7 linked regions of the Danio rerio genome follow. The protein of the gene in region 1 purifies or fractionates together with the protein of each later gene. This does not show direct contact. Links are inferred from orthologs where the notes say so. Each region holds a gene or a part of one and is shown in the gene's direction. Other genes may lie near its edges.

Region 1 (4,024 bases):
ACCCGCGGCTCGGACGGACTCACTCACCTAGGGATTGTGCGCAGATCCCCGGTTCCTTTGGCTTCGTCCTGCCGGGAGAACCACACCTCCAGGAGCTTCTCGGTCCCCTCGAAGAAGTGTGCACTGCTCTCTTCCATCGTGAGACAAACAGACTCCAACAACAGAAAATAAACCGTCGGATGGAATCACAAATTATGTAGTCCTTCGTTGGCGGTTATAACTTAATAGCTTAGTTACAGTCCTTGAGCAGTCCAGATGTAGTTGCCTTATTTTTTTGTTTGTATTTACCGTCTTCCCTTTTACAGAGAATACCGTAGGCGAGTGCTAGCTAATATCGCCGGCCATACTGTGTAAGCGCAGAACGGCAGTCTGCGCGGAGCTTTTATTACCTACCCGACGACGTCATTCTCGTCGTTGCCAATCGCGGCGAGGGAGCCACCCTCAGGTCTACAGCGATTGGTTGAACGGATATCAGTCAAGCGGGATGTTGCGTAAAAGTATGAGTTCACGCTGTAGTAGCGCGTGTGTGAGTGTGTGTCCTTGTATAGATGAGCAAACATTTGCGTTGCTATTGACCTTATTCTAAAATGCGGAAGTGCGCCTGTTTTCGCGATTGTCTTAGAACTTCCGATTCAGTCGCCTATGGGAGAAATGACTAGGAATAATAAACGACAGAAAATGGCCAAACTACTTGCTCAACAAACAAATGTTTGCATGACTACACAGACCAAGTAGCATAATATAATAAGAAAATATTAAATTGCAACATCAAGCAGCGTAACGTGCAGTTGTTAACGTCAAAAAATGAATGGAAGTGAATGTGACCGGAAGTCGCGAGACAAAAAGATTCAAATGGCAGCGCCCGCTCGTCAGCTGAGAATAAGGTGAATAACGCTGAGCCACTGCACAAATAATTGACTCCCATTTATCTAGCACTCTCTTTGAAAAAGAAAAAAACTGTTAGGTTATGTATTCCACACATTTTATTAATTATGTTTAGTTATTATAAGCTTTTTTTCTGCCATTGTGCAAACACTCCAAGCGCTAACGTTCAGAAATGTTAGTTTTGAATCAGAGTGGAAAGACGAAAGGAGGATTTGTTCGCTGTAGTTTTTCAGATGTCCTGCCGCCGTCAACTCGAGCTGGCGCTCCATCAAACGGCACTACGCTCCCCACAATGCAACCCGCCACAATAAAATACGTCACCGAGCACGTGACCGTTAAGCGGAGCCGACCAAAATCCCAAACAAGGAAATGGTGGGGTAATAAAAACGATCGGATCATTTAATTAATGCATGTAATAATTAATATTTTATTTTCTTGTAAATTAAGAAATATTTATGGGTTAAAATGGACTACGACTTCAAAACGAAGCTCGCCGCCGAGAGGGAGAGAGTGGAAGATCTGTTTGAATATGAAGGTTGTAAAGTGGGTCGCGGCACATACGGGCATGTTTATAAAGCGAAGCGTAAAGACGGGTAAGAGACACGCGTTTGATTGACGCGTTTCACTCACTGCACGCGCTTCTGCTGTCTCTGGGTGTGCAGGAGCTTCATATGTGTCGGGGGAATTGCGCTGTTTTCTGTAGCCTGCGTGTGTGTGTGTGTGATTGTTTTTGTTTTCATGGACGCACTTCAAACGGTCCACCCCCAAACCAGCCAGCGTGATGCATGTTTCACTCTTGTGTGCAGGAGTTCACTGCAAATCAGTTCCTCTGTCCAGAAGTTGCATGCGTTTGAAGTCCACTGTGAGTTTGTGTGCTCGGATGAGAAGATGTCATGTTTACATGTGCTGGAATTCAGAGGCTCACCTGTGCACGAGTTGACATACTCATTTACGCAGTATAACAGCTGCCCACTTCTTCATAAGTGCACAAGCTCTTGCGTGCTGGAGTTTATGGAGCATCTGTGATCGAGTTCACGTGCTTGCAGTGTGTGTGTGTGTGTGTGTGCTCTTATTTATACAGGAGTCAATGTGTGCTCAATAAAGGGGTCCTCTTATGACACTTTACACAAGATGTAAAATAAGTCTCTTATGTCTCTAGAGTGTGTGTGTGAAGTTTCAGCTCAAAATACCACACAGATAATGTTTTATATCTCTCTGAAATGGACCCTTTTAGGCTTTGATCCAAATCATGCTGTTTTGGTTACTGTCACTTTAAATTTAAAGCATAGCAGCAGATTCGAAACAGGACTAAAGTTTCTTTGTGAAAAGATGAAAATGTGGTGGCGATGCAGTAAGTAGCACAACCTACTGCGCCACCGCATCTCCAATTTTTTAAATATCTGTGTGATATTATTTTCTGTGGTGGTTCATTCCGCTGCTGCAACCCCTGATAAGTACGAGAGTACAGCCTGGTTTATACTTCTGCGTCAAGTGATCGGCGTGACCCACGGCGCATGCAACGCGCGTAGCCGTGCATTCATACTTCTGCGCGCTATTTCTGATGTTCTGCAATAACACTTCCGAAAAGCTTGTCGGCAATGAGGTGTTAATGTTCCTCTGTGTTGAGTTTATTCGCTGGCGTTTTGTTTTTTCTGAACGCTCAAACTCGCTTATTTTGAGGCAGGAACCGGCGGACATGCAACAACTTTAATCATAACCCACATAGCAAAGTTTCTCTGGCCCAGCTGTGGCCCACACAATCAGGTTTTGCTTGGCCCACATGCCGCAGTGAATTACGGTACATGACTGGACCAAATCTGGCTTCCAGACAAGGGCCAAACACGGACCATATCTGGGCCAAGTCTCAGCCAAGTTAATAACTCATAACTGGGCCTGAACTGGGCCAGATAGGTTGGTGTGTCACGATTGCAATGAAATTGATAAACCCATGGAGTGATGCGCTTTAGGCACACTATGGGCACGCTTTTTCTCAAAGTGACCTGATTGGTAGAATTTATTTTCTTTACTAAAAAATGATTTTAGTGTATTTTAAATGTGGGTCAAAACTGGCCAAACTCACATGGCCCACTTATCAAATTTTTAAATCTGGGCCAAATACTACGTTTTTCATCTGGCCCAAATCTTGTGTGCCGCCTCTGCCAAACCCGGGCCATGTTTGGCCCACATGCTGTATGCCAGTGCCGGATGAATGCCTGCTGTGCCAGCTTTATGCCAAATCTGGGCCAGAATTCTTTGCTACTAGGGAAGGTAAACACAAAGCAAAACCTTTCATCCGGAGCTCCATCACGGGACTCCACACTTGTAAACAATCGCTTCATCGGCCTCGCACAGCTCTCGGTCCCGCCCACACTTGTCAGCGATTCCAAGCTAACCAATCCCAGAGCTTGCGCTACATGTCGTTGCGATGTGTAGTTCCATTTTTTGAGAGGTGCGTGTCAGCGATGGCCACGGCGTTGGGCTATGCGTCAGCGCGTAGGCTGTGCTGTAGCATACGCGTGCGCTTGATGCAGAAGTATAAACAGCCTTAAGCTGGTTTGTGTTCACACTGTTTTTTCCTTCTGAACCCCGGTACGCTTGCGTCATCGAGCTGCTGTTTTGTTTACAGCCGTTGCTAGGTGACGGTCACGAAAGCAAGAGGCGAAATGGACAAGGCCTAATTTAATGATTTACGCTTAGCTAATAGTAACTGCCAAGCTGGGAAACCCAATGACAGAGGTGAGACACAGGTCGTATATGTTTGTTTCCATGACCCACAGGGTTTGTTGCATGTTTTCCCCCCTGATCCTGTCCGGGCCGATACAGCAACGCTGTTTGTTTGCAGCAAGCATTTTTTTCAGGAAAGCGTCAGACTTTGTCTTTTATCATTTATTCATTCATTTTCTTGTCGGCTTAGTCCCTTTATTAATCCAGGGTTGCCACAGTGGAATGAACCACCAACTTATCCAGCAAGTTTTTATGCAGCGGATGCCCTTCCAGCCGCAACCCATCTCTGGAAAACATCCACACACACACACTCATACACTACGGACAATTTAGCCTACCCAATTCACCTGTACCACATGTCTTTGGACTGTGGGGGAAACCGGAGCACCCGGAGGAAACCCACGCGAAGGCAGGG
Region 2 (4,175 bases), on another chromosome or scaffold:
GATGGCTAGAAAGAGAGAGATGAAGGGATGGACAAACACAGGATTAGACAGACCAGACGAACAGAAAAATTGATAGAAAAATGGACAAAGATGGAAAGATAGACAGAAAGATGGACAGACGGATGAAGACAGAGGAAGGGATAGACAAACCGACAAAAATGGAAAGACAGACAGAGAGATAGAAAGAAGGAGGACAGAAAGATTGATAGACAGAGGGATAGAAAGACAGACAGATGGAGGGATAGACAAACAGAGGGTTAGACAGATGGACAGACAAATGGAGGGATAGACAGATGGGCAAAAAGACAGAAAAATAGAGAAATAAACAGATGGAGGGATAGACGGACACAAAAATGGATATACAGATGGAGGGATAGACAGACGAACAGAAAGATGGATAGACAGAGGGATAGACAGATGAAGGGATAGACAGAAGGACAGAAAGATGGATAGACAGAGGGATAGACAGATGAAGGGATAGACAGAAGGACAGAAAGATGGATAGACAGATGGCTAGAAAGAGAGAGATGAAGTGATGGACAGACACAGGATTTGACAGACCAGACAAACAGAAAAATTGATAGACAGATGGACAGACGGATGAAGACAGAGGAAGGGATAGACAAACCGACAAAGATGGAAGGACAGACAGAGAGATAGACAGATGGACAGAAAGATGGATAGACAGAAACAGACGAACGGAGACAGATGGAGGCATAGACAGATGGATAGAAAGATGGAGGAACAGACAGACAGATTGACGGATAGTTTGATAGACAGACATATAGATACACAAATAAACAGACAGAGAGACAGACACACAGTCAGTCAGATGAGAGACAGACAGACAGTTGGTAAAACAGGACAGACACAGACAGAGAGAGAGTCAGTGAGTGCAGCATTCACCCAGTCTGGTCGCCGGTGTCCTGCGCTCCTCCTCGGCTGTGTCCTGCAGCTCCTCCTGCTGTCTGCGGGCCTGCTCCAGGATCCTCCGGCTCAGCTTCTCATCCACGAACTCCTGCTGCTCCTCCTGCCCGCGGCCGCGCTGCTTCTGCCGGCCGCTGCAGCGCACTGAGTCCCGCTGGAGGATCTGCTCGGCCAGGGGCACCGCGCCGCCGCTCCAGGCCTTCTTCACCTTCGGCATGATGACGGTTATCAATATTAGTATTATCTGCCTGTCTGTCTGAGGAATTATGAGTGTGAAATCGCGTCTGAACACATGACGCGCCGCGGAGAGCTGCACACACGTGGGTCTGAGAGCAATGGCGCTGAGAGTGTGTGTGTATACATAGATATATGTCTGTAGTGCTGCTCTGAGAGCAGTTGGAGAGATGAGCGCTGTTTTGGAGCGCGCAGAACTACTGATCCCAGAGCGGCGCTGCGTCACACTGTTTACTTCCGCTCGAGGCTCGGCAGATCTCGGCTCTGTTCATTTTTAGCGCGGCTAATGTTTTTATATTACATGAATTTAATGATTGTTAATATTTTTATTTTATCGAATTTAAGTGTTTTACTTTTACTGATTTCGCGTGTTTCACGCAAACTCGAGTGATCCGGAAGTAAATACCCCGGCTTGCGGAAGTTTGTCTCGAAGAAATGGGTGTAACGTGGTGAGAAACACTTTTGTTTATAAAGTATTGTCCTCAAATAATTAATATTTTCAGTTGTGCTTGTTTTGAGTCTCTCTGGTGCTCCTGATGCTCCCGTTCAGCGCTGTTTGAATGCACAGAGAGGCTTTTGCTCCTCATTCATCAGTCTATTTATTGCTTTATACATGTTTACATCACATGTCACTCTTAAAAGTACTTTACAAAACTGTTATTAGTGTTGTGTAGAACACAATGAAGGCCTGTTATTATTATCAGGTGCACGTGTTCATTCAAACTAACATTTAAGATGAAATATAAGGATATTTGACGAGGTTTTCCCGAAGTTTTGTATAAAAAAAAGTGTAAGATTATCAGCTTCATTTACTGCAAACATATAAAAAAACATTTAACAAGTTTTGTAGTTTACAAGCACTCATTTAAGTAGTGTTCAGGGAGTCCGCGGGGTCTTAAAATTTATTAAAGTGCCCATGAAATGAAAACTAGCCTTGTTGTTGTTGTTAGCTCACAGTGCTAGTTCTGTGGTGAATAATTCATCTGTGCATATTATTGAGAAAATGTAATAGTTTGCCCTTCTAATCTTTAATTGAAATCTGAAAATGCTCTTCCTGTTTGTTTTCAGTTAAATTATCAGATGGTGTGTTTTTGAGAGAGGGGTCTGGCTGCAGACCTGGTGCAGATGCAATCTGAGCTGCATCCAATACTTTAAGCTGTGCTTACACTGGGCTTTTCTCACCATAGACTTCATTCATACACGCGAATGCGTCAGACTGGAAACGCAGGGTCATGCGTCAAGTTTCGCAGGTCACTTCAGTGCAAAGTTCAACCTTGGTGAAGTCGGACCTGCGAAATCACATCACTTGACTGCGGGAGACCAATCGAGGATCAACATGAGCTCTCTGGACAGAAATGAAACACATGCAGCAATCACTCGCTTTATTAATGCCTAATCATCTTGTTTAATCCCGCCCCTTTTCGCAGCGCCGTACGGCGGACTTTCGCACACGCAAGCTCTAGTGTGACTGCAGCTTTAATGTGCTCACCTAACCCCACCCCTCAAAGTGACCTCACTAGCTCAATTGTGTCCGACATTGCATCACTAAGAGATGCAATCTCAGCTTGCATCACAAAGGCTGCATCCAGATACTATTGGTTTTAGGCAATGGGCGGGGCTAACATTCATAACCACGCCCCTCCAGCTGTCAGTTTTGACAACAAACAGAAATGCTGAGCTGGGGTCCGTACGTTGCTTAAATGATCTTGATGATTTGGCAGATCCTTGATCTGTTCATCTTGATAACTGATCTCTGGCTAATTTGGTTCCTCAAACAGGTTCGTGAATTAGATTAAAATGTCTGGATGCACATCTGAGATCAGCGTGTGTTGTGAAGGGCAGATTTATCCATCCCCAAAATCATGATCAGCAATGCAGCGATTGGCTGACGGCACAGCAGCGCAATGACATCATCTGATCAATATTCAATTCTCCATGTGAGCAAAATTATTTAAAATTCTTAGTAAACGGTTTGTTAAATATGACACACAATAACTTCCCATGTTTGTTGTGAGCTGCAGGCTTTTTTACACATTCATGTGTCAAGAGTATTCAGCAATTTATTTTATTGTTAGAGCAGATTTTCCTTATTACAGTCGCCATATTAGTATTATAGTAGCCGGTTTCTTAATTGGTATAAAGATTAACAGGATGTTTAAATTAATTTTGCATCACAAAAGCATTTTACTATTGGTAAAGATGTCTGCAACTTTTTTGAAGGCATTAAATCCCAGTCATATTACCGAATACCTGCATGAATGTATTATTCCTTTATAAAAAAAGGTTGCATTAATTTTCTCTTTGATCCACCAGGTGGCAGTATTTGTACTTTTATTTCGGAGTGCAGATTGCATAAGTTTTATTTATATATATTTTAACTTATATATATATATATATAGTTAAAAAATATATTTACTATTTTCCCAAGTGTATATAACTATATAACTACTGTAATAAAAGATCAGAATTCGTTACATAGTTTCAGTATTATCTTTGCTTGAACTGAACCGATCTTATCCTGTTTATATGAAACAAGCTGCTGCTCCCCAGCAGGTTTGAGCTACCAGAACTATTGATAGGACAACAGCTCTCAGATGAGTTTTGAAGAGCGTAACGATCCTGGAACATGTCAAATCGTCAATAACCAAATCCGTTATATAATAACTGAGTAATGCATGTACGAAGAACGGACCCCTGGGGTTTGGTTTTCATAGGTGAATTACTCAAGTATATCAATCTATCTATATAGCTAGATAGACAGACATTACACATATGCACACACAGACTCGCACAATTATTTTTATTATTTATTTTTATTGATGTTTACACTGATCAGAATGATCTTGCTTTAGTAAACTACCATTTTGAAACTGTTTTTAATTGTAAATAAATTAAACGTCTCAAATGTGTGTGTGTTTGTGTCAGTGTTTGTCAGGTGCCAGTGGCCGAGGGTAAGAGCGTCCAGCAGACGGTGGATCTTCTCCACAGGAAGCTGGAGCAGCTGGGAGCCGTAA
Region 3 (3,975 bases), on another chromosome or scaffold:
CTCAACCTGATTGAGATGCTGTGGCATGACCTCAAGAGAGCGATTCACACCAGACATCTCAAGAATATTGCTGAACTGAACAGTTTTGTAAAGAGGAATGATCCAAAATCTCTTCAGACAAGTTGTGCAAGTCTGATCTGCAACTACAGGAAAAGTTTGGTTGAAGCTATTGGTAGGTAGGTAGGTAGGTAGGTAGGTAGGTAGGTAGGTAGGTAGGTAGGTAGATAGATAGATAGATAGATAGATAGATAGATAGATAGATAGATAGATAGATAGATAGATAGATAGATAGATAGATAGATAGATAGATAGATAGATAGATAGATAGATAGATAGATAGATAGATAGATAGATAGATAGATAGATAGATAGATAGATAGATAGATAGATAGATAGATAGATAGATAGATAGATAGATAGATAGATGAATAAAATATTTCAGATAGTGAACATTCCAACAAATCAGGCACGCAGGAGAGAACAAAGTAAGACAAAAATTCTTAATCTAATAATAGTTTTTGTACAGTTTGAGTGCATAAGCAGGTGATATGTAATGAAATATTCCAAATTATGACAAATTGTTGATTTTGTGCTTAATTTTACCTTATATAATATGTATTCATCATAGTTATTTTACATAAACTGTGGTATTTAACTGTAGGTTTTTGTTTGATCTCCATAATTTTCCACCAATTATTTCTTCTCAGACCATGCTGAGAATCATTATCAAACTGAATCTGAAGCTAACCGCAAGCTTTGTATGTCACTTCTTTCTGTCAAAACCGTATTAAACTGGTAAGACATCTGTTGTTTAAAACTGATAAACCATAAATTTATTTTTCTAATTCAAAAAGGCAATTCTAAGTCAATTCTGCAATACAGCCCTACAAATCATAGCCTAATAATATTTTTGATGCCTTGCTCAAGGGTTTTCAGCTATTTCCATGAAATAAAAGTATGGTAAACACATTACATTAACGTACTATTGCTGTTATGTGATAGTGAAAACTGTTACATTGTACTTTCATTTCCAGTGTTACTCATATTCCCGAATCAAAAGTTCGCTACAATCTATCGGCGAATCAGAGGACGCGACATCACACCACCCAATCGCATTGACCTTTACTTCAACAAACAGATACTCTCAGCCAATCAAAGGACGTGATCTTGCAGACCAACATGGCGGCTCGGAGTGCAGAGAATTGTAAATGAACAAAAACCTGATTCATTTATTACAAATTTTGAAATATTTTGTGGTAAGTGATATTTTTAAAAATAGCAAATCATAAATTGGCCTTCTATATTATTTGTCCATTTGATTTGTGCATTTTATACGCGAAATATGTTTGTTTTATGAGAAATTAGTAACGTTACAGCTGAGATGTGACGTTCTCCTGTCATACACTGGGATGTGATTTGTACATTACAAATACTTATTATACTGTCTACAGTCTTAAGGATCTGCCAATATGAAGGTGGTGAATCTGAAACAGGCCATCCTACAGGCGTGGAAGGAACGTTGGAGTGATTATCAGTGGGCCATTAACATTAAGAAGAACTGTCCCAAAGGAGCTACATGGGATTATCTCAATCTAGCAGGTCATATTTACGTCACCTTACAAATGACTAGTGTGACTATATACAGCCTTTCTTTAACTGCCGTCTGAGCGCCTTCACTCCATTTTGTCCGCTATTGTACATGCCAGTGGTTTGTTTTTAAAAGAGTCTACTTCTTTCTTTCTTTCTTTCTTTCTTTCTTTCTTTCTTTCTTTCTTTCTTTCTTTCTTTCTTTCTTTCTTTCTTTCTTTCTTTTTTTGTATAAGGCTCCATGTATTTAATCTGAATACAGCAATGCAAAATATTGCAACTTGCAAGAACTGTTTGCTGGTTTTATTTATAAAAACAAAAGCCGAATTCTTTGTTATTCCTGTGAGAGAGTTGTTTTGTAAATAACTGTTCAGGGTCACATGATTCTAAATAAATTATTGTAACATAGTCATCGATGCTTAAATTTATTTTTGTTTTTGCTGTTTCACATTTTCTGTGGGAACCATGGTAGATGGTCTTAAAGTAGTTTAGAGTAAAATGAAAAATAAAAGTAAAAGCAAACAAAAATTTACAGTTGATAGTACAATTAGATATAGATATAAATAGATAGCCTAAAAATAAACACCAAAAAGATTTCTGAAGGATCATGTGACACTAAAGACTGGAATAATGGCAGCCGAAAATTAATTACAGCAAAAGTTTACATTTGTAAAATGTAAATGAAAACATTTTCTGTTAATTGCTGTAATCTAATCAGTGGTGAAAAGAGTACAGAAAAAAGATACTCAAGTAAAAGTACCATTACTTGCCCAAAATGTAGTGCAAGTAGAGTAAAAATATCTGTTGTAAATATAACTCAAAGTATGAGTAAAAAGTACCCGAGTAGTGAGTATTACAGTGTGAATGCAATTTGTGCAGGTGTGTGTAAACGTAACATTCTATAGTGCATTTAGTCAATTGTTTAAGACTATTTGAAGACTTCAGATGCAAAAACCTCTAAAAGTTATTTGATATTTTCTTCTAAAATTAGCATTTTTCTCCTTTCTGTAGGCTCAGTCATTTTACTTCTATGGTGACGAATAAGTTCTTTTCATTGCCTTTCAAGTGAAATAACTGAACATAAACATAGGAGGCTGACAAAAATGCTTATTTTAGGAGAACATTTCAGAGAACATTTACAGGTTTTTGCATCTGAGCTATTCATTTGTCGATTTCAGTCATCATACAGTAAACATCTGCCATCTTCTTATCAGTGACATGCAGTCTAAACAGTCATTCCGTGTAAAGAGTTTAGGCATCTTCTTGGACACTTTCCAAACATTTCCTGAGGTTGTTCAATATGATGCAAAACTATTATTAGTTATTTTAGCCAATACCCATAGAGAAGGAACAAATAAAGTAGTGACTGTAGGTTAAAGGAAAATAGTGGAGTAAAAGTACTGATACTGCACTAAAAATGTACTCAAAGGAAAGTAAAAAGCACACATCTTTAAAACTGCTTAGTAAATTACAATTCTTGTGAAGAACTACTCAGTTACAGTCATTTGAGTATTTATAATTTGTTACTTTACACCACTGAATATAATATTGTTATATGACTCTTTAAAAAACTGCCTTAGTGTGCATAAAAGACTTCTTTTAAAAAACACACAATCTTTAATATTCCAAACCTTTGATTAAAAATGTCCTAAATTCACAATTTTGTAAATGGATACGTTCAGTAAATGGTTGCATGATATTTTAATTATTTATTTTTAAAATAATTGTCCTTTTTTCGTCCACAACAGGGGTGCAAACCTCCCCTTTTGAGAGTATCGTTGAAAGTGCTGTGTAATAGCTGTATAGTTGTAAAGGTGTAATTACTCTTTCCTCAATACAGAAGCTCTTCTGGAGCAGGCTATGATTGGCCCATCTCCCAACCCCCTGATCCTGTCCTATCTGAAGTATGCCATCAGTTCACAGGTAAACACACAAGTCATACCCGTAGCCTTTTTTTTTCATATAGCAAGAGCTGCATTATGGCAGCTGAATTTAATGAGTAGAATACCTCTTTATTAATTTCCATATTTGCCAACAAAAATAATGTTTGTGTGCTACTGCATGTGCACCACTAGGTGGCAGTATAAATTCAAGATGACAGCTTCCACAAAAAACAACATTTTTCTATAACATATTTTCTCTCAAACCTGTAGATGGTGTCGTATTCTAGTGTGTTAACGGCAATCAGCAAGGTTGGTGTATTTTTTTATATTTATTATTATTTGTATTTTTTAATAGGCGCTATTTATGTAAAATATTTTTATTTGCTCATCCACAGTTTGATGATTTTTCACGGGAGCTATGTGTCAAATCATTGCTTGAGATTATGGACATGTTCTCCAACCGACTAAGGTACCGTCTGTCAGTTGATCACATCTGTCCACCAAC
Region 4 (4,236 bases), about 370 kb from region 1:
ACTACATGCGATTGTCTTTCATTCTCACTGTCAGATGTATAAATAATGGTTTGCAGGACAGTGACAAAGTTTAACGATTTCAGATATGATTTAATGAGGGAAATACAGACATCTAAGTAAAAGTACAGTTCATTCGTTCATTTTCCTTCAGCTTAGTCTCTAATTTATCAGGGGTCACCACAGCCGAATGAACCGCCAACTATTCCAGCATATGTGTTATGCAGCGGATGCAGACAAGCTTTAACTCTGTCCACAAATTTTCTATAGGATTGAGGTCAGGGCTTTGTGATGGCCACTCCAAAACATCCATTCTGTTGTCCTTAAAGCACATTTGAACTCATTTAGCAGGATGCTGAGGGTCATGGTCTGTTTGGAAGAGCCATTTGTGGCCAAGTTTTAATTTCCTGGCTGATGCCCTGAGATGTTGCTTCAGTATTTCCACATAATGTTCTTTCTTCATGATGCCATCTATGCCGTAAAGTGGACCAGTCCCTCCTGCAGCAAAACAGCCCCACAACATGATGCTGCCGCCCCATACTTCACAGTTGGGATGGTGTTCCTAGGCTTGTAAGCTTTCCCCTTTATCCTCCAAATGTAACACTGGTCATTATGGCCAAACAGTTCAATCTCAGCTCCATCAGAGCACAGGACATGTCTCCAAACATGAGTCTTTTTCCCAGTGTAATTTAGCAAATTGTAATCTGGCTTTCTTGTTGATTCTGGCTTGTTGATTTTCCCATGTTGTCACTCAAGGAAGCAGTGTGTTTGAGCTTTTCCTTAAATACTATTCTACAAAAACTTTAGTCACATTAACATCTGAAATGGTTGTGGGCCTTTTTATACAGCGTATGTAAACTTCTGCTTTTAACTTAACGGATTGACTGATTGGTTAGATAGACAGACTAACCGCAGCACACTGAGGACATCTGCTGGTTACATGGGCGTAGTGCAAAAAGTAAAACTAAAACTACACAAATGGTGCTTGCTTGGTGTAAACGGTCTTAATATTGTTAAATAAACATTCAATTTCAGCCCTAAACTAGTCTTCGATAATGTATTGATGTATTGAAATACAATACATGTAGTTCAATTATATGAGACGCAAAGTTTAAATATAAGATGTGTCATTGAAAATGTATATCTATCATGGAAAAGTTTGCATGTCTCTCATGTTAATATATTGTCTGGAGTTTTTTTAGATGTGTCCTGTGTCTTTGCAAAGTCCTCAAAGTGGGGGGAGGGGGCAAAAAATTCAGGAAGGCTGATGGCTGAAAACATTATTATTATTATTATTATTATTATTATAAACACATGTAACTAAATTACAATATACCACATGCCAGAGAGCAAGACAAGAAAATCTTTTAAACAGATTGTTCGACAATGTCGGAACCATGGTGTTGTGAGTGTGTGTTCCTGCCGGAATGTTTTCAGCGACGCTCAAGCTTCTGGTGTTTCAGTTCTGGCGCTGCTCTTCTGTTGTGTTCATCAGAGCCTCATTCAGCGTTAATTAAAAACTACAGCGCACACTTTCATTTCAGACATGGACGTATGAGTGTGCGTGAAGGTGTGTGCTCGTGATGGCGGTCCCGATGGAGACTCAGCTGCAGAGCATCTTTGAGGATGTAGTGGTGGGTGATGCAGCACACACACTTCTCATCCATTCATCACAGTAACAACAACAGCAGCAGTCACATCTCAATCATTGAGGTAAAGTTGGTTTTATATTCGCACATTCCTTCATTTAACATTCCCTATATATTATCTACTGTGTTAATTTGAATATAGGGTCTGAAATCAGATTTAAATGACTTAAAACAACATTAGCACTATTTAATTGACTGTGAACAGTGTTGTACTTTGATAGTTATTGGCTGCTAATATGATTTCACTATTTAGAGTTTACAAATAATACTTTTCTAAAATTATATTATTAAGGAGAAAGTCTGAATGTCCGAATATAAAACCAAATTTACCTAAATTTCTCAATCTCAAAGTGATAACCGCACCATTAGGGTAAAGTTGATTTTATATTCGCACATTTGGACTTTTAAAAAATATATATATTATTTCCGAAAAGTATAATTTGCAAACTTTAAATAGCGAAATCATATTGGCAGCCAATGACTATCAAAGCACAACGCTGTTCACAGTCAATTAAATAGTGCTAATGTTGTTTTCAGGTCATACTTGCAAGCTATTTCAGACCGAATATTCAAATCACCATGGTAAACAACACAGGGAGCATGTCAGAAGTTCTCACTGAGCGAATGTGTGAATATAAAATAACTTTACCTCACTAGCTAAGCTGTACACAGCACAGTCTCATGTATAACGGCTAACTGATGTCAGACTAATGTACACATTTTAACTTTCAACTGTTTTGTTTACGTCAGAAAACGGAGGTGATCGAGGAGGCGTTTGCTGGGTGAGTAGACTAATAAAACACCATATTATAGAGCGAAAACGCACAAGGGCTGCACGATACTGGAATGTTAAATATTAATTATTATTTATTATCTGCATATTTATATTTGTGTAATAAAAACTAGTGTAGACGTGTCAATCTGTGTGGTTTTGGAGACGTCTGCATCACCATATGGGGCATAAGAACAGTACGTGTGCTTGATATAACTGGTTTTCTGACCACACTTGGTTATTATTGTTCATTTATTCCTTTGCTGGAGATTAGAACTGAATTTAGAAATAGTTTTGAAACACATCTTTGTGCTAAACAGACTAAATGTAGTGGGCTAATGGATGTAGTGGGCTAATGGATGTGTTCAGTGGAGTGAGATTCCTCCACCAAAGTAAAGGAGTAAAAGTAAAGAGAAAGTAAAGAGGCCGAATGGAGGAGGCTCGTTCTTTATCCTCTCGCTGCAGATGCTCTGTTTAACTGTTTTCTCGCTAGTGTAGTGTTCAGTTTTTCCTCTTACAAAGTCCGCCATGTAAATAGCAAATCCACCATAACACGACGCAACTGACTCTTAAAGGGAATGAGAGAAGAGACTCTGATAGGTTTATTACACGTTATGCTCAAAACACACTCAGAACTCATTAAGAGAATAAGCTTAACCTTGTTAGACTGTGCGCCGCGGCGCAGTGCGTAAGTGGATTCAGACATGCCCTTAATGCTTTTGTGCCATGAGCTTTAGACTTTGCACCTAGATCATTAAAAAAGAGCCCAATGAAGAAGTGGAAACCTGCGAAGATCACCTGACAGGCTGTTGTTACTTTCCTCTCTTGACTCTACTCCACCCACTAGTATTCAGTTTTAGCTCTGGGTTCAGCTTTTAGCCAATAGCAGAACAACAACTACTGGGGAGGCGGGACTAAAGATAGTAAGGCCCCATCTGATTGGTCAAATTTACATAAACAACCAATGCATCATATAAATGTAATTTATGACACGTCTATGATTTGTATATTAAATATATAATCATCAGGAGAACGATACTTTTGCGAGATATTGTGCAGCCCTAAAATGCACACTTATAAGTGATAATGGATACCTAAATTATGCATATGTGTGTGTGTGTGCGCAGCATGTTCATGGACAGCCCTGAGGATGAGAAGACCAAACTCACAAGCTGTTTAGGAGCCTTTAGGCAGTTCTGGAGTACCCTGCCGCAGGTCAGAATCAACACACACACACACACACACACACTCACACATGCACCCACTCACACACTCAGAATCTCTCATACACTTGTTCATATGCACACTTTTAATCTCGCGTGCACACACACACAGACTTGCTCACAGTTGCTCATATGCACACACTTGCACTCACACACACACACGCATACCCATATGAACGCGCACACACACACACACACACACACACATTCTGTTGCACAAACACACACGCACACCCACGGATAAATAGATAGACAGACATTCGGACACGCCCTTAATGCTTTTGTGCCCTGCGCTTTAGACTTTGTGCCTAGATCATTAGGATAGAGCCCAAAGTGTTTATAGTGACCAACATTATTGGTAAAAACAAAAGAGTTTTGATAAAATGAGCTAAAAAAAACTAAGGTTGCAATTTTTTGATCCTGCATTTAGCATTTGTTTACTTATGTTTGCATTATTTCATGTACATATTTTTCAAGGTGTTGTTTGTTAAATCTCCCTTTGGAAAACAGCTTCACAAGGGTCCATGTTTGCTTTGTGTATCACAATATTGCATAAAGCTGCTTTATAAAAGAAGTATAAGTGTTGCAAGATTTC
Region 5 (4,186 bases), on another chromosome or scaffold:
GGGATAAGCTTACCAATTCCTTATTATCCAATTTGTCATGGCAGTTTTCATTTTAAGGCATTGTTTTTTCTCTTCTTGTTTTCTATTTTGCGCTCCACGCCTCTTTACTCTTCTCTCCATTTTGAACATGTGACTGTAACCGAGCAACAGATCAATTAATTGGTCAACGAAGAGGGAGGGGTGGTATATTTTTTATTCAATAAAATAAAATTTGAATAATTGTATAATTCAAATTAAATAATTCATATTGGTAGAAGTACACAATGTTGTCACAACATTGTGATTAATAACTGGCAATGTCACAGTTTTATTGTTGCAACGTTTCAGTTGTCACAATGTAATTAGTTACATTGTCACAATAAAACTGTTGCACTTACATTACTACCACGTATTTACTCCACCAGCATCACGTTGTGACCTGTTCACCTTTTTTTGCAGAAAAAATGGCTCAAAATCCTGTGCAAGACTTGTATCTGTCATTTTCCAGATAAATTGATGCTGTATTGACCACAAAAGAATGACCTACATCATGAATTACTGTGGTCTAAAACCAGGCGTTTCAGTTTCATTGTCCAACCCCTGTAAATAAAAAAAAAACTGATAAAAAAAAAAAATAATAAATGTCTGTGTGTGTGTGTGTGTGTGTGTGTGTGTATATGTATATATATATATATATATATATATATATATATATATATATATATATATATATATATATATATATATATATATATATATATGAAGTCTCCACTTCACTTCCTAATCTGCAATTGCCTCTCTGGATATCACACTAACTGTACCCCAAAAAAAAAAAAATACTAATACTTTCCTTCTTAGACTTTACAGACCTGAAACTTGCCTATAGCACTTATTCATTGTTGCTCTTATAGTTGTGTAAGTTGCTTCCTTGTCCTCATTTGTAAGTCGCTTTGGATAAAAGCGTCTGCTAAATGACTAAATGTAAATGTAATATATACACCATAGTGTTTGTGTGTGTGTATGTTATCAGTCGCATTGAAAAATATACAATCAAAAGTTATTATGAGAATAAAACCCACAAATAACCTGAAGGGAACATCATGGGAAGGTTCTCTTTAGTTTATGAAAATAAGACCCACAAATAATCTCCAGAAAATGTAATATAATAATAAATAATAAGGGAACGTTCTGGGAAGATTTTGGTTAGGTTTTGGTTGCCAAAAAAAACTACAGATAACGTTCCCCGAAAAATAACCAAACGGGATGTTCCATATGGGAAAGTAAGAATGTTATCTGCTACACTACAGCAAAGAGCATCTAAGCTCTTTGGGTACAGCCTATTGCCAGGTGGCGATATATAGACAAAATGCATTGTGGAAAAAGCGAAGAAGAAGATCACGTGACGTCATTTCAGTTTCTCGATCCAGTAGTCTGTTGTTAGGCATTTTCGCCTGGTTATTGCGCTTTGTTCGCGGTCTATTTTAACGAGGGCTGATTTTATTGTGACCGCGTCTTAGTATAATGTTTTAGCTCTTTCTGCTTTACCGTTGTCGGGTCACTGTTGGATGCAAATTCGGAAGATGGCGGCGGTGCAAAGCAGCAGTCCGGTCGCAGACTCGTCCCAGGGAGGCACAGCCGCGGGCTCCGAGCGTCCCCGAGCCGAGGATGGATCTGGTAACGTTACAAGCACATACTTCCTGTTTACTTAAAGTTTATTTGTGTCAGCTAGAATCTACAAAATGCTTTAATTATTTTTTAGAAATGACCCATAGATTTCCCTTTTACGGATTGTGCACGATTTCCGAGTCGTCCGTCAGATATCTCGAGTGTTTTTGGGATGTTTTGGCGAAGGTTAGCATCAATGTTGAAAAGTAAATATTTATTGTAACGTTACATTAATTAAATTTCTCATAATCAGAAAAAATAAAGGGATTGCTGTTCATTTTTGGTTATTTAGTTAGAATGAATAAAGGGTGGTTGGGACTTTTTTAAATTTCTACCATGCTTTTTTGCCATGACTTAAAAATATCAGCCCAATACATGATACATTTATGTAATACTTACTTACTTGCCTGTCCGTTTATGGAGGAAAGGAAACATAGTTATTTGTTAAGAATAGGAGGAGTGCTATAGTCTTTATTATAAACTAAGCCAAAACCGAAAGTTTTGGTGATTAAGACAAAAATCTATTTATTAAGGCTGGTGTCTGTTAATGCGTGTTAAGCATGATGCAGTTTATTAAATATTAGCCTACATATGAATTTTATTTATTTATTATAAAACAGAAAATGTGTTATTTCTTAATGCAAAAATGCATGCAAACATTAGTCTGTTATTAGACAATGTTGTCAATAATGAAATGTCATCGTTAATGGCATTTGGTGATCATCAGATATTATTGCTTGTCATTAGGTACCAATTGACGGATGTCCGTAATTGGGAAGAGCTCTGAAAGCTTTACTTGAGGTCAGGAAGCGCATGAAATGCCAAATTTAGGTAGGCTACAGAATTCTGACCTCAACCGGGACATTGGGAAGCTGCAAGCAGGCCTGAGGCAGACACAGGAGTTGTAGAGCCAGTGAGAACATATCAAAGTGTAATTTTCAGAGCTTGGAACATGTTCAGAAGGATTGGTGGAGTGAGTAGAATGCATGGTGGAGGCAGACAATGGGTAACAACACCAAATTATAACCAATACCTTTCCCTGCGAGGGAATCAGTCTGCAATCAGTCTGCAAAATGACCTACAGCAGGGGTCTGTAACATTTTTTCAGCAAGGAGCCATTGTTTGTTTTTTATTTATCAAATACATTTTTTAAAGAGCAATTGGGGGTGTGTGTATATAACAACATCTTTACTTATTTAAGGACAATTTATAGAATGAAAAAAAAATCAGTATGCCATTGCCACTTGTGAATGAATTGGTGTTGCGATTCAAGTTAAGCCACAGCACCACACATGCTCATTAGAAACATCCTTTTATTGTAACCTGAGTTCTTATTTTGCTTTAAAAAATACAGTATAAAGGGAATTATAATTGTATTTTCAATATGAAACTGGTTTCTAATAACAGTTATGATTTTTAAACTTTAAAATATTATTGAAAGAAGACAGCTGGAGAAAGCTACATATTTTTGGTCAAAAAGCCACATGTGGCTCCTGACCCATAGGTTCCCTACCCCTGACCTACAGGATGCAACAGGAGTGTTAGTATCCAACCAGACAAGCCCAAGGTATAGGAATGAAATTCTGAGGCCAGTTGTCAAACTTTATTCTGGTGCAATGTGGCCGGATTTTGTTTTTATGGATGACAATGCCCTCCACGTTGAGCAGTGTTAGTGATGGAATACTTGGAGGAGCCATCCTTTAACAGATTATTCAAAACATATGAGAGGTGGTAACACTGATTACTGACTAGTTGTTCAGTTCTTGTACATGACTTGTTTGTCATATTTGCAAACATGCAATTTATGTTTGTTTGACAGTATGAAGTCAAATTTTGTTCTGCTGTAACAAGTATTTACATCTCAAATACATAAATTGAAAAGTTTTCTTTTCTGTTTTGGAGCTTTGCTAGTTTAAGCTCTGACGTTTCATGCAAAGCTACTACGGTACGGGATCCAGGAGGGATGCAACGGTTCTCTTTAAAAAATCGTACCGTCCTGTTGTCCTCCCATGGTTCAGTGCGCCCTGTGATCTGCAGTTCAGAATATGCATTTTTAATATTAGTTTAGTGTTTAAAAACAACTGCAACAAAACAAAAAAAAATCTGCCTTTACCTATGACATGCGCTGGACATGGGAGGACATGTCTCAATCACCTCTTAAAAATCTGTAAGTCTGTTGTTGACATTACGTCTTCTGACGTGTCTGTGTGTTTGAGTTTCTGAGAGTTCAGCAAAAGTGCAGGTGAGACCAAAACACAGCACATTGCTGTCAGTGTTTCAATAGACACTCAATGTAAATTCAGACAGATAATAATAACAAATGCTTAATCTTTTTGTTTATTTTTTGTTGATCACTAAAGGGCTTATCGAGGTCTGTCTCCAGACCCAGAAGTGTCCCGTACAGACCCAGACATACAGCAGGCCTGTTACTTCAGCTGAGTGTTTAGCATCCGATCGCTCCTGCTATTTATTAATTTGTTTACCCGCTGTCTGCTAAGAAAAGTTTACTTTTCAATTAACTGTTTTCTGCTAAAAAAATATT
Region 6 (4,042 bases), on another chromosome or scaffold:
CATAAAGCCAGAAATATTTAACATATATACAATCAACAAACAAATGCATAAGAGTCTCAACATCCACTCCGCAAATAAACACAAATTCAGAAAGATCAACTTTTGATCATCTTTTGAGAAATTGGTTGGTTGGATATATTTTATGTATAATTTCACTTTATTAGTGACACAATACTTGTTGTTATAAGTCCAGATCAAGTTCCAATAGATATTCTCAGATTATTCCAAAAGTATTTGTGTCTAAAAGTGGCAAGATAATAAATCAAGCGTCTACAAAATTTATTATTACATTTTCTATCTTTGAAATCAACACCATGTAATTAAATCTCATTTTTAACTGTTAGTTTATTTGGTTCACTGTAACTCTGCAAAAGCCCCGCCAGGCCTTGTGGAGGCACAGGAACTAAACTTCTCAAAAAAATTCAGTAGCCTATAAGTCAGTAAATATCCTTCATCTTTTAAGCTGTGAGACCAATAGAACACCTTTTTAACCAAATTATCATGGAAAATAGATTTTTTTTTCTTATATTCCAAGTCACAAAATGTATTTTGTAGGCTACAAATATTACTACGAAAAAAAAAGGTGCAAATGCCTCATAAATACTTTTTTAAAATATTGCCTGAACTTTATTCGGCTTACTTATTTGTTTCTAAACATTTTGATATTCCGAGTAGTTGTACATTTTGTGGTGAGGATGATGAAACTTTAATACAATTATTTTGTATGTGTGAATTTGTTCAGAAATTTTGGTTTGACCTTTATCGTTATTAAACACTCCTCCTACCTTTGCACAATATTTTAGTTTAAAATAAAGTGTTTGTTATTACTCAGAATAAATCTGAAGAATTTGTTTTCAACTTTTTATCTTGTTTGGAAATATTTTATACAAATATGCATTGTTTCAGTCCCTACTTTTCGACATTTTCTCATTAAAGTTGACTCCTGCTCAAATCTTTGCGTACGTGTAACAACAACAAAAAATGTGTCAGATACTTGGCTCTACATGAAGAACTGTTGACTCTGATTTGAGTTAAATAGCTCTTAATTAATTTATTTTTATACAATTTTATACAAGTGTAATTTACTTACCCCTTACAAATGTAGTTTGTATTGTTCCTATTTTGTATCTCTCTTATATTGATCTCCTGATTGTGGTTGTAAGTTTTCATTCTTTATTATTTAAAAAAAAGGTGCAAATGTCGTGAAACACTTTTACGACAGCAGCACTGGTTTTATGGCAAAAATGGCGTCAGCGGTCTATGTCCGCATAAACAATGAGTAATGTGTTGTTTTTGGTAATCGCGCTCTAAAAAATCTTTTTATACTAATCATTTTCCAGATATTTCAGCGTCGTCTGAATTCTCGTTGTCCGTAATGGCTGGTGTTATGGAAACAGGTTTGTTAAAATTAGATTGAATTGTTATTTAGCACATCTTTGCCCACGAGATTCCTAGCAATGTGACAGTTAACGTAAATACAATTGTTTGGTAACGTATTTTAGTTTCGTTTTGATCATATTAAGTTATACAACGTTTTAGAGGTACTACACTATGTGTTATTTTCTGTACTGGCGCAGATATATGTTGTTCAAGCAATTTCTGTAACACTTAACATTAAGGTAGTATCGTCGTTAGCCAATGTTTGCTAACATGAACAAACAAGAATCGTTATATTTATTACAGTGTTTGTTCGTCTTTGTTAAAAGTATTAATGAAATAAAGTAATCTCAACTTACGGTGCATCAACTAATGTCAAGCATGAACTTGCATTTTAATTATGCACTAATACAAGTATTGTTCGTTGGTAGTTCATGAATACATTTACTAATGATTATTTGTATTATTTCTTTTCAAACACAAACATTGCTTACGCTTCTATTTGTGCTTTGACAGACGAGCAGGCGAGACAGCGCTTTCAGCTGGAGCTGGAGTTTGTTCAATGTCTGGCAAACCCAAACTACCTGAACTGTAAGAACAACGTTAACTCTTGTTTCTTTTTTACTGTTCGCTAAATTCAGTCATTACTTTAGTCATTGGTCAAATTCACTCATTGGTTGTTACATTCTGTAAATTCAAGGTAATTTTGTTACTGTGGTCGAAATATGAAGATGGATAATGATTATTAATCTTAATTTTTTCCCCCCATCCTGCAGTTCTGGCTCAGAGAGGTTACCTGAGAGAGAAGCCTTTCGTCAATTATTTAAAGTATCTGCTTTATTGGAAGGAACCAGAATATGCTAAATTTCTAAAGTAAGTAACATGTTGTTCTTGTTGAAATAGATTGTTAATTTGTCAAACATTTCTTCTTTGGATGATGAGTGCTTCTAATAAAAGCATGAAAGAAAGAAAGAAAGAAGGATATAAAATTTGTTCAATATCGTGTAGTTCTAGTGCATAATATTTATTAGTTATTTATTATTAGTTATTTATTAGTTAGTATTATTAATTATTTATTAGTTTACTAGTTATTTTGTAAAATACTATTATTCAGCTTAAAGTCCTGTTTAAAAAATTGACTAGCTCAATTAGGCTGGTCATTTGACAGCAGTTGTTTGTTTTGTAGACAGTCGAATATAAGAAGTTCTTAAGGGGGTGAAAAATATCGACCGTAACGTTTTAAGAAATTTATTCTTTTAATGCCACCAGAATAAAGAAATGAGACATTCTATATAAGTTAAAACGTAATAGTTTAGAATAGAAATATAAATATTTGTTTTGCTAAACATGACTTGGGAAAATATTTGAAAAGGAATTAAGAATTTTACAGGTGGTCTAATAATTTAGCTGTATATAGTTGTATTTAAAAATGTAAATTGAATTACAAGTTTAGTATGTGTGCCTAATCTGTATGGAACAAAATTAATGGCAAAAGTATTGAAATAAAAAGTTTGTTGATTAGCATTAACTGAAAAAAAATAATGCATTGAATAAGCAACTGCTTGCATTTTAATGACTTGAATTGCAAGAGTTTGTATTTTTAGGGCCTGAATTTTAACACGGCTGTTTATTTAAGCTGTGAATATTTCAACTAAAAATATTTTAAACATGTTTTTATACTTAAAATTTCAACAATTCATATTCAATTTCCAGATTTCATATATATATTAAAAGTTCAATTTTTAAATATATAATACTGGTGAAAAATATGAAGCATAATGTTCAAAATTTAACTTTCAGTTTGTTTACTTTTCAGTTTAAAATTTTGCTTCCAAAAATTCAGTGGTTTAAATTTGGCTCTTAAAATTCGACATTACTTCCGGGAACTGCAGGAACAGCAATAGATTGCAGATTGGCAATCTCCAGCTGCTTTTTCACTAGCAGGTGGACCAATTTAAGATTTTTAAACCATTAAATAAAGGTTTAAAAACTCCCTTTTTAAGGGAAAAAGCTAATAACAGCACAAAAGTAGCATTTAATATTGTCCTTGTTAAATTTTAACAGCCGAATTTGATCCACTAAATTAATGGAAGAGAACTTTTGAACTGAAATAAAGTGAGTTGAAAATTGTCTTTTGAATATTATACATGAAATCCGGAAATTAAGAATTATTATTTTTAAGTATAAAATAAGTATAAGAATTTTCAAGTATAAAAACGTGTTTGAAAAATTTTTAATTGAAATATTTACAGCTTAAATAAACAGCTGTGTTAAATTTCAAGACCTAAAATTACAAACTCTGGCAATCCAAGTCATTAAAATGCAAGCAGTTGTTAATTTAATATATTATTTGTTTCAGTTTGTGCTATTCAATACGTTTTTTTTTTGTTTTTGTTTTTTTTAACAATACTTTGATTTTGTTCCATAAATCTGCAGTTTACATAACCTAAACTATAAAGTTATATTATTTTATTTGTCAATATAAAGCAAAAACAGACAATATGGTGCCAAATTGTAGGTCGCTTACCATTAGTGCTGTGTGATACTGAACAGAAAAGATTTAAGCATTCTAAATAATTCAATGCAATATTTTATTAAAAATATCAAATCAATGAAATATTTCATATGATTTCAGGGAAAAGAGAACATCACTACAACTTCTGAA
Region 7 (4,187 bases), on another chromosome or scaffold:
GCTGTAAATATTGCCATGTTTTCATTTGATGTGCGTATTATGGAAATAATAATAAGCAAAACAATCTAAATTTGAATTGTGTTAATTTGAATTAGACAATTGTAATTTAATAAATCTGAATTTTTATATGCCGTTAAAAATTGTTTTGAATTTCTTAGTTTGAATTTTCTAACTTGAATATTGAAATGTAAGACAACTGAATTTTTCAAGGCGGAATTTTTTATAGACATATTCTCAAACGTTTGATTTTTTGTGTTAAAATATTACAGTAGGCTATTTTTTGACTGAAATGCATTGAAATCAAAATGTCCAATGGGTGGCGCTAAATCTCTCTTTGTCACTGAATTGTTCATTCACATTCGTTATTTAGACCATATATATATATATATATATATATATATATATATATATATATATATATATATATATATATATATATATATATAGATATATATATATATATATATATATATATATATATATATATATATATATATATATATATATATATATATATATATATATATATATTTCCAGCCCTGAATTTCACAATCTGAATTTCTGGTTTTGAATTTTATGATATTGATTTGGATGTTCTAAATTTCTTCATCTTGAAAATTTGAAACTGTATTTTCACAAACTTAATATCTACAGTCTATGAACTCAGAACACAAACAAATCAGGCTTGAAAAGTTCTTGCATTTCAGATGTTCAATACTCAAGTTATGAAATTCAAATTCAAATGAAGAAAATCAAATTTAAAAGATTTTTAATGTCATAAAAAAATCTGATTTTTAAAATTAAAATTGTTAATAATTCAAATGAATACAATTCAAATTGTGATTGTTTTGGCACATTATTAGCTCTGTACGTCAAACCCTTTCTGAGACACACACACACACACACACACGCACGCACGCACGCACGCACGCACGCACACACACACACACACACATACACACACACACACACACAGAGAGAGAGACTTAAAAGGTTAACTTAAACATATAAATTAAATTATAAAAATGTATAAACAAAAATAAAACGTTTATATAAAAAAAGAGAAAAATAATATATAAATAGCGTACATACATACATACATACATACATACATAGATACATACATACATACATACATACATACATACATACATACATACATACATACATACATACATACATACATACATACATAAAAGCATAGGAACAAAAAAGCCTTTTGTTAATAAATAATGCATAACCATGCATGAGTAAACATTTTTGTTAACGCTTTTATGCTTCAAAAGTAACGTAGATAGACAAATACAGAAATAGATCGGAGCTCCAGCCCAATAGGGGGTGGTAAGTATTAGATGAGTCTTTGAATCCGGAAAGAGTCGACGAATACAGGCGCTCAATGATGTGATGTGCAGCTTCAAAGTGCTATTTGCTGAATTAGAATAGATTTGAAACGCCAGAACAATTTATATTATTAACAAATTAATTTATGTTCGGACTTATTAGCAGGAGCATGTAGTTTTGAGTCTGCCATACCCATCATTTTCTTCTGTTTCTGTACAGTAGCGGTGTTTGCTTTTGTTGTCTCCCGTAGTGATTGTGAACACATTCAAAGGTGTTCATTTGGGGCATCTGTGCTGTAAACAGTAAGTTTCCTTCATTATATGATGGATATCGCATATGTTTGCGAGTGGGAGAAGAGACCCAAGAGCAACCACTGTCCTTCAATCCCTCTGGTGTGCGCCTGGTCATGTAGAAACCTCATCGCTTTCACCACTGACCTGAAGAATGAGGAGGATGACAAAGGTCTGGACAATGCCTTTATTACCAATATTACCACTCCTGTTGGTGAGTTATGAATGGAGGACAAGAAACAACATACATTTTCAATTCGTTTTGGATCCAAAATACATAGAACAATGGTGTTTATTTATGATCAAGCATTATATCAGCAACAACAATCATGTTTTTTTTTTCTGTTGCAGATCTCAGTCATATGATACACATCATTGACACTGATCACCCCTGGGATGTGTACTCCATCAATTCTGGTCACAATGAGATAATTTCCTGCCTAGAATGGGATCAGTCTGGTCAGTCATCATGATGATAAAGATGAAATGGGCTAAACATTTGGCAATATGTGCAGATCATATTTGACAAGTTTTTTTTAGAAGTAAAGTTTCCATTTATTTTAGGTGGGTAGTCTCAGTATTGTAAGGGTAAGCCTAATTTTACTCGATTAATGTACTGCGATGGTCTTAAATCAGTACAGATTAGATACAGAATAATAAAATCTAATATAATATTTATTTTTATTATAGATTTTTTGTAATAATATAATTATTTTATAATTGACATTTGAATCATTTTAGAGTGTTAAAAACATTTGAAGAGAGACGCGTTTCAATGTAAAACCTAAATACTTTTCCAAATCAGGGTTTTTACCATTATCAAATACTAAAACTATTTAAAAAATCTGATAATAAAGAAAAAACTTGTATTAAATGAAAATTACAAATGTTGCTTTAGCAAGTAACAGAACAGAAAAAATATATATAATTTATTAAAATAAAAGTAAATCAAAAAGGCAAATAAAAAAATTATACTTTATATTATAACAAATGAAAACAGTAGTGCAAATAATACAATTGCTAAATTTAATATGAAGCAAAAAAGCCAAATCAAAGTATGAAGAAAAATAATAATAAAAAAGGTATATTCATTTTTATTTAATATTCATAAAACATTTATTAATTAAGTTGTTTATAAAATCAGTTTTAGGGATACTCCTAATAACTGATTAACCCGTTAACTTAAAGCAGGGGTGCCCAAACTCAGTTCTGGAGAGCCGGTGTCCTGCAGATTTTAGTAGGGATGGCTGACGTGAAACTGACGTTTCGACACAGTTTCGAGATCCCGAAGCACAAGTGTTTCGAAACACTGCACCGAAGCATGATCCGAAACACCCAATTCACGTGACTAAAGTGTTTCAAAACACCTGGACACGTGACTAAAATGATTCAAAGCAACAATCAGTTAAGAAGTGTTTCGAGACCTTGCGAATCTGGATGTAACTGCCGGCGTCAGTTTCAAAATCTGTCTCATATGGCCTGGTGGACTGTGCCTGTACACGCTGTTTTTATACTTCCAATGACTTTTGGGTTTGAATCCCGACTTGTACAAATACACCTAAATCATGGTTTTATGTATTTTAATCATGTTTCTGTTTTATGGTGTAGCCTAAATAGATTAAAGCTGAGGATACGCCATCAATATAGCATCATTTTTGTAACACTAAAACAATAATAAATATTTTTACAGTACTGTGATGGTTGGGTTTAGGGTTTGGATAGACGTTAATGAAATACAATAAATGGGAAATTTAATAAATAATATAAATAATTCTTGATACCTTCTGGCCACAACTGTGTCTGATCTAGCAACAACTCTGTTTTAATACCAAAACAAGACATATTTATTTACAAAGTGTTTATTCGGATGTCAGACCAATGTTGAAACAAAACGAAACAAGAACAAAGCATTACCAACTGGTATTAAAGCATTTCAAAAAAGCCGTATCAGCCTGGATTCAAACTCAATATCCCCACATGGAAGTCAGAAACCTTAACCGCTCCACTAAATCTCTTGAATAGATACTTTTACAAAGTGGGGTGTAATACCTCAATTTGCTAAAATGTTCTTGCTGAAGCTGTTTCAGTGCAATACATAAAAATGACCACTAGGTGGTCACCGTAGAGTGGGGTTTCAAAACATTTCGAAGCTTCGACACATTTGCTTCGACTGTTTGTTTCAGTGTTTCATGAAGCCTCGCTTTGCCCACCACTAGATTTTAGCTCCAACTTGCCTCAACACACCTGCATAGATGTTTATAGAAAGCCTTTAAAAAGCTTGATTAGATAGCCCAGGTGTGTCTGATTGGGTTGGAACTAAACTTTGCAGGACACCGGCCCTCCAGGATAGAGTTTGGGCATCCCTGTCTTAAAAGGTGCATTTTAATCTATTATTGGTATCAGTTAAATGATTAAAAATGTATTGTTTTTATTTTATTTAAGTTTGGCTGCATAAATGTGCAACACATATTTGCTTATTCGTGAGACAGTAACATGTGCAACTACATGTGCCCACAGACATATTTTGCCAAAAAAGCAAAATGAAAGAAGGATGAT

Evidence for each region.
Region 2: the proteins of cdk19 (region 1) and med20 purify together in Homo sapiens (affinity purification with mass spectrometry; 5 studies listed by BioGRID and IntAct, counting the BioPlex papers as one, with this or other methods). This does not show direct contact. The link is inferred for Danio rerio from reciprocal best matches to the Homo sapiens genes CDK19 and MED20.
Region 3: the proteins of cdk19 (region 1) and med24 purify together in Homo sapiens (affinity purification with mass spectrometry; 6 studies listed by BioGRID and IntAct, counting the BioPlex papers as one, with this or other methods). This does not show direct contact. The link is inferred for Danio rerio from reciprocal best matches to the Homo sapiens genes CDK19 and MED24.
Region 4: the proteins of cdk19 (region 1) and med23 purify together in Homo sapiens (affinity purification with mass spectrometry; 5 studies listed by BioGRID and IntAct, counting the BioPlex papers as one, with this or other methods). This does not show direct contact. The link is inferred for Danio rerio from reciprocal best matches to the Homo sapiens genes CDK19 and MED23.
Region 5: the proteins of cdk19 (region 1) and med1 purify together in Homo sapiens (affinity purification with mass spectrometry; 7 studies listed by BioGRID and IntAct, counting the BioPlex papers as one, with this or other methods). This does not show direct contact. The link is inferred for Danio rerio from reciprocal best matches to the Homo sapiens genes CDK19 and MED1.
Region 6: the proteins of cdk19 (region 1) and med31 purify together in Homo sapiens (affinity purification with mass spectrometry; 6 studies listed by BioGRID and IntAct, counting the BioPlex papers as one, with this or other methods). This does not show direct contact. The link is inferred for Danio rerio from reciprocal best matches to the Homo sapiens genes CDK19 and MED31.
Region 7: the proteins of cdk19 (region 1) and med16 purify together in Homo sapiens (affinity purification with mass spectrometry; 6 studies listed by BioGRID and IntAct, counting the BioPlex papers as one, with this or other methods). This does not show direct contact. The link is inferred for Danio rerio from reciprocal best matches to the Homo sapiens genes CDK19 and MED16.

What each region holds. Positions count from the first base shown.
Region 1 is NC_133195.1:3,039,689-3,043,712, reverse strand, and holds the start of cdk19 (cyclin-dependent kinase 19), read left to right. Parts: upstream 1-1,222; 5' UTR 1,223-1,350; coding exon 1,351-1,478; intron 1,479-4,024. Other genes in the region: amd1 (S-adenosylmethionine decarboxylase proenzyme), read right to left, coding at 28-137.
Region 2 is NC_133197.1:573,960-578,134, forward strand, and holds the start of med20 (mediator of RNA polymerase II transcription subunit 20), read left to right. Parts: upstream 1-1,370; 5' UTR 1,371-1,596; coding exon 1,597-1,610; intron 1,611-2,939; exon of another isoform or gene 2,940-3,098; intron 3,099-4,086; coding exon 4,087-4,175. UniProt on the Homo sapiens protein: Component of the Mediator complex, a coactivator involved in the regulated transcription of nearly all RNA polymerase II-dependent genes.
Region 3 is NC_133187.1:11,225,633-11,229,607, reverse strand, and holds the start of med24 (mediator of RNA polymerase II transcription subunit 24), read left to right. Parts: upstream 1-1,171; 5' UTR 1,172-1,256; intron 1,257-1,451; 5' UTR 1,452-1,469; coding exon 1,470-1,599; intron 1,600-3,427; coding exon 3,428-3,510; intron 3,511-3,740; coding exon 3,741-3,779; intron 3,780-3,865; coding exon 3,866-3,939; intron 3,940-3,975. UniProt on the Homo sapiens protein: Component of the Mediator complex, a coactivator involved in the regulated transcription of nearly all RNA polymerase II-dependent genes.
Region 4 is NC_133195.1:2,669,493-2,673,728, reverse strand, and holds the start of med23 (mediator of RNA polymerase II transcription subunit 23), read left to right. Parts: upstream 1-1,435; 5' UTR 1,436-1,580; coding exon 1,581-1,631; exon of another isoform or gene 1,632-1,638; coding exon of another isoform or gene 1,639-1,710; intron 1,711-2,396; coding exon 2,397-2,428; intron 2,429-3,545; coding exon 3,546-3,633; intron 3,634-4,236. UniProt on the Homo sapiens protein: Required for transcriptional activation subsequent to the assembly of the pre-initiation complex. Component of the Mediator complex, a coactivator involved in the regulated transcription of nearly all RNA polymerase II-dependent genes.
Region 5 is NC_133187.1:16,852,303-16,856,488, forward strand, and holds the start of med1 (mediator of RNA polymerase II transcription subunit 1), read left to right. Parts: upstream 1-1,383; 5' UTR 1,384-1,544; coding exon 1,545-1,653; intron 1,654-4,186. UniProt on the Homo sapiens protein: Component of the Mediator complex, a coactivator involved in the regulated transcription of nearly all RNA polymerase II-dependent genes.
Region 6 is NC_133196.1:43,308,444-43,312,485, reverse strand, and holds the start of med31 (mediator of RNA polymerase II transcription subunit 31), read left to right. Parts: upstream 1-1,235; 5' UTR 1,236-1,375; coding exon 1,376-1,397; intron 1,398-1,893; coding exon 1,894-1,968; intron 1,969-2,153; coding exon 2,154-2,250; intron 2,251-4,042. UniProt on the Homo sapiens protein: Component of the Mediator complex, a coactivator involved in the regulated transcription of nearly all RNA polymerase II-dependent genes.
Region 7 is NC_133186.1:14,600,314-14,604,500, forward strand, and holds the start of med16 (mediator of RNA polymerase II transcription subunit 16), read left to right. Parts: upstream 1-1,379; 5' UTR 1,380-1,661; coding exon 1,662-1,803; coding exon of another isoform or gene 1,804-1,845; intron 1,846-1,982; coding exon 1,983-2,090; intron 2,091-4,187. UniProt on the Homo sapiens protein: Component of the Mediator complex, a coactivator involved in the regulated transcription of nearly all RNA polymerase II-dependent genes.